Drosophila melanogaster: one gene and its partner. The protein of the gene in region 1 interacts with the protein of each later gene in a pairwise test. Each region holds a gene or a part of one and is shown on either strand. Other genes may lie near its edges.

Region 1 (4,277 bases):
ATGAGCAGTGTGGTTGAGCGAACTCTGCTGGCGAGATGTATTTATTCTACACCAAAGGTCTCGCCTTTGAAGGGCATGGGTCTTAACAATATTATAAGTAGTTAATAATACTTTGCAATGGAATTTTAGGCAATGGAGCACCGACCGCAGTGCCTTGCATTGGACCCGATGAGCTGCCGCCGCCGTATCAGCAGAGTACCAACACCGGAGGCGTCCCGATGGTCACCTGTCGGGTATGTCAACACATGATTGACATCACCACGAAGCGGGAGCAGCACGTGGTCAAGTGCACCCACTGCAATGAGGCTACTGTGAGTAATTCTAAGCAGATTCTTTGAATCCAATTGTAACTTAATACGCTTTTGGCTATCAACAGCCCATTCGGAACGCTCCAGCGGGCAAGAAGTATGTTCGCTGCCCATGCAACTGTTTGTTAATCTGCAAGAGCTCGTCGCAGCGAATCGCTTGTCCAAGGCCCAATTGCAAGAGGATCATCAACCTGGCCCCAAGTCCCGTCACCCCGCCCGTGCCAACCATGCCGGGCATGTGCCGCGTCACTTGTGGCCACTGTTCGGACACGTTTTTGGTGAGTTATTAATCCAAATCACAGCAGCAGGAGTCTTGTAACGCTTGCTCTTACAGTTCAACACGTATCACAACGCCTTGGCCCGGTGTCCACACTGCAGGAAGGTCTCATCGGTGGGCTCGCGCTTTGCCAACAGCCGCGCCGTGATGTTCGCCATCGTGGCGCTGGTGTTCCTCATCACAGGCATCGCTGTAACTATCGGCACATACTCGATTGCTTCGGTAAGCCAAATCAATTTAAAATCAAGCTGAAGTATGTGATTTTCTAAACCCATATGTGTGTTTCCTTTTGCATTTTTCCAGGATCATGGTGGCATGTACTTCCTCTACGTGGCGCTGTTCGTGATTTCGGGTTGCATGCTGGCCAGGTCCGCCTACTATTTCCGCCTTAAAGTGAGCGCCATCGATGGGCCAATGTAAAGCTAAAGCACGGGGCCAGTAGCAAGGAAGAAAGTGCATTGTTTTATTTTTATATATATATATTATTCATATATATCATTCCTTTTGATATTAAATTTAAAACTAAACACAAGCAGCCAATTTGCAGACGGAACATATGAACATTTCTCCAGCAGTTCAGCTACATACAAAAATTCTTCGTTTCGAGCAAAACTAATAGCAAACCTAGCTAAATTTACGAAAGAAGGTCTCCCCGTTGAAGAGCATAATTAGGATATTAAGGCCGTAACTAACTAAACACTATACTAAAAGCGAATATTTCAAGGGTCGCCGTGCAGCTACCATTCAAGTGCTAAAAGTAAAAAAGGAAAACCCCGATCTGTGTTGGCAGTCATTAGTTATTAGACCAGCGACCGATCAATCCACAGTGCATCTCATTTTTAGAATCGTCAGGATCCATTTTAAAGATTGTACAGTTTCGTTGTTTAAGTGTCCGATTTGTTATCCGTTCGTGCCTGTCCTGCAAGATATTTCGGTATTCATACATTACGTATTCGTTGATACGCTTTTGAGTTTTGTGTTGCCTAAAATTTAACCAATGCACTTTTTCTCAGTTCTCGCCAAAGCGGAGGAAAGCGTTTTGTTGCCTGGCGTTAGAAACAATTTGAAGGGTATGCTAATAGTGCTAATGAAGGTACATACACATACGCGCATATACAATACCATAAATACATAATTATAATGCAAATAAACAAAGCAACATTTCTTGAACAACAGAGAACAAGCAAACGCTCATGCAGATATAAAGAAAATTAATTTAGACAGCAACTGCTAAACTGCGAAATTGCATATATATATATGATTAAAAGGAACGGTTTACTTTTGAAATATATATATATATATACAACAACATTTATATTTAGTACATTATAAATTAGCATACATACACTGTAAATAAAAAGAAATAAAACCACAAGCACCACCAACTTTTTGGCGACAAAATGACAAGGCTATGAAAGTAGAATAGAGTGCCTTGAACTTGACATCGGACATCGGCTGGGATTTTCGATTTCGATTACATTTTTAAAGTTTTTAAGTTCCTTGGCCAAGATGTCATCATTGGCTCCTTGCTTTACTGTGGGCTCTATTGTGCGCTGCAAGACTTGTTTTGGCGACAACATTTCGGGCGAGGTAAAACTAAATATTATTTATTATTTTTATGATTATGTAATGCTTTCAATTTCCCAGGTTGTGGCCTTCGATCTGGGCGTGAAAATGCTGATAATGAAGTGTCCATCAAGCAATGGCGGTGGCGACGAACAGACCACTTGCAATGTGACCATTGTGAACCTATCCCTGTGCATGGACATTGAAATAGTAAAGGAAGCAATTCCGCCGGCTGAAGTTCAACAGCCAGAACCGATTGATTTGCCCATGGTAGAAGCACTCTCTATATAGATATTTAAAAGAAACCCCATTCAACCATTTGCAATTGCAGATCCGAGAACGATACCGATACGCAACCGAACATCGTACGCTCTCCTGCCGGAGCTATCATCCCAATGCCTCGCCCTTTGGTCAAGCTCTGTTCAGACTGTTAGTCAAGCGATTCGGTGATCCCGCTATCATCTGGCAGAACAAAGGCGACCAAGTGGCGATCAATATACTCCGTCAGGTGGTCATCGATGCGCCGTATGCCACGGAGAATATCCGATACCTCGATTGGAATCCCAAGCTGGCGATATGCGTCCAAGAGGTCGTTCAAAACTTTTGCAGTAAACAATTCTAGAACGATGGCCCGTGCCCATGGCAACAGTTGTCTAGATAGCATCCGATTCTCTGTACGTTTTGTTTATCAACAAAACAATTCAAAATACACATACATATAGCCATGACACCCACACAGAATACTGCTCTTTATCTGCCAGGGGAAACCATTCTCGTTTGTACAAATTCGATTTAATACACTACACCACAACACCCAACACACATAATACACGATGGCCGATGATGAAGATAAACCAAAGAAGCACACGCTGGACAGCCTGTTCTTGGTGTATTCCAACTTCCAGGTATGATGAATGACCCGGTTAATTGAAGAGTAATTTTCATCTAAATGATGCCAGGTCATACCCACCGACATCGAGAACGAGTACTTTGACAGCATACTCCTCTCGCAGTTGGACGCCTGGCTAGAGCAGGCCAAGCTCATGCCCAATCCCATAACTCGAACTCAGACCGGTTTAATATACATGCGATACAAGTGAGTAACTACATCAAATCTACATATCATTCTTAATCAAATACATGTTTCAGGAAATGGCGTTTGGAGTACGAAGACTTTCTCGAGGTCCTAAATAACTTGGCATCCGATAACAATCTGGCTATAGATGAAATGAAGCAAATAATGATCGATGCTGGCGTCCCGAATGGTGCTGATGTAGTTATAGTCGTCAAGTAGATTGAATCATCACTGCATTTTATTTATATGCATACAAAAAGTCGGACAACAAATTATTAATAGTAACAATTGCATACAAGAGTAACTTTGATTAATTCACAAAAATTATAGTAAAATATAAAAGCATCCAACAAAAAGAGCCTCTAAACCCGATTGGTTAATTTCAGTTAGTTAAACACTTATTTTGACATAGAGGGTGCCTAATTAAGGTATGTTTTGAGATTACTGATCTGAAAACTAAATACAAAATATATGCGTATTACATTTTTTGATGTGATTCAATAAATTGACTGATATTCTGAAATTCTGCTTAAGCTTATAAATATTCGATGAGTTGGTTGGCTTGTTCGCTTCGCGTTACTTTCCTGATAATAATAACAACGTTTGTTTGGGTAACAGAGTTTGGCTGGACTTATTTCTAGCACCTGGGCAAATATGTGGACTGCTCGGAGCTAACGATGTTACAAAAATACATGCTTATTCATTCCGTATATCTAATAAATATTGTCGATGCGTTCTAATGGCTTTCCGAGCGTCTCATAGCGATTGTAAGGTAATAATGCACTGTTTGTACTAGTAAATTTCCGGCTCTTGACGAGGTGCATGGAGTGGATTTGCTATTGATGCTTGCTCTTAGTCATCCCTCCAGTTGCGCAGCATGGTAAAAAAAAATCTATAGCGTTAATTTTTTGAATTGTGTATGCGGGATTTATACTGTTTACCGTGCATACTCGTAGCAACCTCGTGCCGTTCCAAGGCCACTCCAATTTCGCCACATGATTTGTATTTCCGGATATGGTCATATAGATAAGATTCTCTTGTTGGCTCAGTG
Region 2 (3,731 bases), on another chromosome or scaffold:
CAACTGATAAGCTGTGGCGAAGATTCAGTAGTGGTTTTTTGGGAAATGAATGCAATGCGGAAAGAGGTTCCTGGCTGGGTGGATACCAACAACTGTCAGCTTTGCTCCAGGCCCTTCTTCTGGAACTTCCGCTCAATGATGGATCAAAAGCAGCTGGGTGAGATAAATAGCTTACACTTGAGTTACTCTTTGTTTTACAAGTAATTTCTGACTGTCAGGAATACGACAGCATCATTGTCGCCACTGCGGCAAAGCCGTGTGCGACAACTGTTCCACCAATCGCATTAACATACCCATAATGGGCTTCGAGTTTGATGTGCGTACCTGTGATCCGTGCTACAAACAACTTCAGACAGTCGAGCGCCCCTCGCTGGCTTCATTCAATGACGCCAAGCATTCGATCGTCTACATGGACCTGGACGAGGACAGAAAGCGCCTGTTGACAGTGGGCCAGGACAGGCTCATCAAGATCTGGGATCTCTCCAACATCTGGGCATAAAACATCCTGTACGCACACGCACGTACCAAAGGTATAATCATTCACGAGGCGTTTCGGTCTTAACTGGAACACCCAATTAACGAACGATGTGGCTGGCAACGACCAAATCCAGTCCCTGCTGCTTAGGTTCTCATATAATTGATGTAAAGCAATAATCATTGTATGTACGTATGCTTACATTCAACACATAAATACACGAATCCATCGATTAAGTGGTGTTTTCTAAATGAGTTTTTATTAGATTGTACTTTATACTTAATAGCCACCCCTGCCCGGTGGTGGTGCTCCACGGATCATGCTGGGCGGCGGTCCGCGCATCGGTGGCGGAGCACCGCGTCCCATGTTTCCTGGCATCGAGGGCATGCCGCCGGGAATCATGCCCGGTGGCGGTGCACCCATCATCGGTGCTCGTGGCACTCCTCGTCCCATCGGAGCCATGTGCTGTTGGGCGGGTCCGCCCACACCTCTCACGGGACCCTGGAGACCCGCTGGCACGGCGGACAAGTTGATAGGCATTCCGCGTCCGGCCACGCGACCGATTCCCGGACCAGGAGCTGCTCCCGGAATGGGAACTCGGGGCAGGCCCTCCTCTGGCGGCGGTGGTCCCTCCACCGTCAGTGAAACTATGTTCTCGCCGCGCAGCAATACAAAGCCCAGCACGCGCTTCTCCTCGCGCTCGGGCACCTTGGAATTCTTCGAGCGAATCTTCCGGAACTCCTCGCAGTCGCCGAGGATCAAGTTCATGTGTTTGTCGAAGGCTTTGAAGGTACCGATGAAGGTACGCGAGTCCTGCAGCACGATTCGCACCCGATAATTCAGGTGCTGAATCATTTTGTTGTTCTTGCCGATCGTCTGAAATAAAGGAATTCAAAGGATTTAATTGTGAAATACAATAGCATGCATAAAAGTCGCGCCATCTTTTGTAAACCATTTCGACCCTTTAAAAAAGCCGGTATTTATAAAAATTTTAATAAACCACAGAGTTTGAAATAGCAAATCTCAGCGTAATATCGAAGATCACTAAAAATCATAATTTTAAACAAATATAAAATAGTTAATTAGCCAAAACAAATTGTTTTATTTATTCGCATGCATGTTTGTATGTATGTATGCCTATGTAAATACGAAATCGCAACCGCGAAAGTAAGAATCTATGAATTAATACAACTAAACAAAACTTAACCATTGCAGTCAGATGCTTAAAACAGTGTTTTTACTTACCATTTTATTTGATTTCTATGTTAATTCTATCGCTTGTAAATAAAATACAGATGCCGGAACCTCACCACGGCTTTTTTCGATAGGCATGAAGAATAAATCGAGTGGCGTGTGCGGCGGTCAGCATTTTCTGGTGTCTTTCAATCGAGCCTATCGAATATAAATTTTTTATTGATAATCCACATGATTTTTTAAACAAACATTCGACTATCCCTAGCAAAAGAAGAGAAAAAAATTAAATTTTTTTTAAATCTTATGATAAAAAACGAAAAAAGAAAAAATTTGAATCAGTATGTTTTTTCTCAATTTTTTTCGTTAGAGATGGTCGAATTTTCATTAAAAAAATCATGTGGCGGCACTTATCGATATCGATAGGCAGTGGCCATGTTATCAAACTTATTCTTATTCATCAGCCACGTCATTGTTTATGCCGACATTCTGACAAGTTTTTTTCCGAAGCGGCAAAGCCCTCACATCTCTACTCGTTGGCAAATTAGGCGAAAAGTCATTTTGGTAACGTATGCAGCTGTTGAAACACTGAATGCCGCCATTATTGCTATAGTATACACTCCCATTTTCATATAGGCGTGCGTTCCGTGACGCAGCCGCAGCGAAAGGAAGTAGAACAATCAAACAGCCAACCGGGCAGCCAAGTAGCCAAGTCGGCGGATTAGATCACGATGAATATCTTTCGCTTTGCTGGGGATCTGTCGCATGTGTTTGCCATCATAATACTGCTGCTGAAGATATGGAAGACCCGCTCGTGCGCCGGAATATCGGGCAAGTCGCAGATCCTGTTCGCCGTGGTCTATCTGACGCGCTACCTGGATCTGTTCACCACCTACGTGAGCCTGTACAACTCGGTGATGAAGGTGTTGTTCCTGGCCACGTCCGGTGCCACCGTGTATTTGATGTACGTGAAGTTTAAGGCCACCTATGACCACAATCACGATTCGTTCCGCATCGAATTCCTGCTGGTGCCGTGCGCCCTGCTCTCGCTGGTGATCAATCATGAGTTTACCGTGATGGAAGTGCTGTGGACATTCTCGATCTATTTGGAATCGGTGGCCATTCTGCCGCAGCTGTTCCTAGTGAGCAGAACCGGCGAGGCCGAGTCCATCACCAGCCACTACCTCTTCGCCCTGGGATCGTACCGTGCACTCTACTTGCTCAACTGGGTCTACCGGTACATGGTCGAGTCGCACTACGACCTTATCGCGATCTTCGCCGGAGTTGTCCAGACCGTCTTGTACTGCGACTTCTTCTACTTATACATTACCAAAGTTCTTAAGGGCAAGAAGCTCCAGCTGCCGGCATAAGCGGATGATGGATAAGTGCATAGATGTGGGACATTTGTGTTTTGTCGGCACACATCATCAATCGACGTCAGAGTAAACAAGCGAGCGATCCACGGCCCGTTTGACAACGCGTATTTCGTTCATATTATACAAAAGATACATAATCGAGGGGAGCGCCTAAGTTGTAATTATTTAATGAGAAATAAACCGAAAATCGAAAGTACACTATAAACTATGCAATACCGACATCGTACATTGAAAATGTAACAAATGTATTAATCTCCGTTTTCCGAACTGCACTCACAAATTTTAGAATCCAAAAATATTAAAAAAAAAAATCATTACTCCAGTAAGAGATAACGTTAATTGACAAAATCGAAACAAATGTTTTCTCTTTTGCGCGGAGGCTTATCTGATTCGCAATAGTATCACAGAAGAGGTCATAGATTTCTTTGTTTAATTAAGAATTTAAAGTTATGCATTAAATAGCTCTTAAGTCGACTGTATCCTAAAAATCCGAGTAAAGTTAAGTCTTATTGTGTGGCTAATAGTAAAGTAAATGATGAGCGATGTCAACATATAATACACATAATATTCTGAAAAATAGGCCGCAGGATCGTAGGAACTCCATGTGCTGTTTTGCACAACTTCTATTGAATTCCGAAAAGATATATTAAATTTCTGCAACACCCTCGTTTCCCCTTGCACGCTTCGCA

The links.
Region 2: the proteins of Hez (region 1) and SmB interact in a two-hybrid assay, tested with the Drosophila melanogaster proteins (one study listed by BioGRID).

What each region holds. Positions count from the first base shown.
Region 1 is NT_037436.4:9,892,488-9,896,764, reverse strand, and holds Hez (hezron), read left to right. Parts: upstream 1-2,021; 5' UTR 2,022-2,094; coding exon 2,095-2,175; intron 2,176-2,232; coding exon 2,233-2,421; intron 2,422-2,482; coding exon 2,483-2,773; 3' UTR 2,774-2,984; coding exon of another isoform or gene 2,985-3,056; intron 3,057-3,110; coding exon of another isoform or gene 3,111-3,247; intron 3,248-3,300; coding exon of another isoform or gene 3,301-3,445; 3' UTR 3,446-3,577; downstream 3,578-4,277. Other genes in the region: CG6707 (uncharacterized protein), read left to right, coding at 130-311, 377-586, 643-807, 889-1,005; CG6709 (uncharacterized protein), read left to right, coding at 2,985-3,056, 3,111-3,247, 3,301-3,445. UniProt on the Drosophila melanogaster protein: May have an accessory function in the survival motor neuron (SMN) complex.
Region 2 is NT_033779.5:10,424,774-10,428,504, forward strand, and holds SmB (small ribonucleoprotein particle protein SmB), read right to left. Parts: upstream 1,855-3,731; 5' UTR 1,724-1,854; coding exon 1,721-1,723; intron 1,352-1,720; coding exon 755-1,351; 3' UTR 710-754; downstream 1-709. Other genes in the region: Wdfy2 (WD repeat and FYVE domain containing 2), read left to right, coding at 1-157, 219-499; KdelR (KDEL receptor), read left to right, coding at 2,398-3,036. UniProt on the Drosophila melanogaster protein: Plays a role in pre-mRNA splicing as a core component of the spliceosomal U1, U2, U4 and U5 small nuclear ribonucleoproteins (snRNPs), the building blocks of the spliceosome. Involved in germline establishment and development.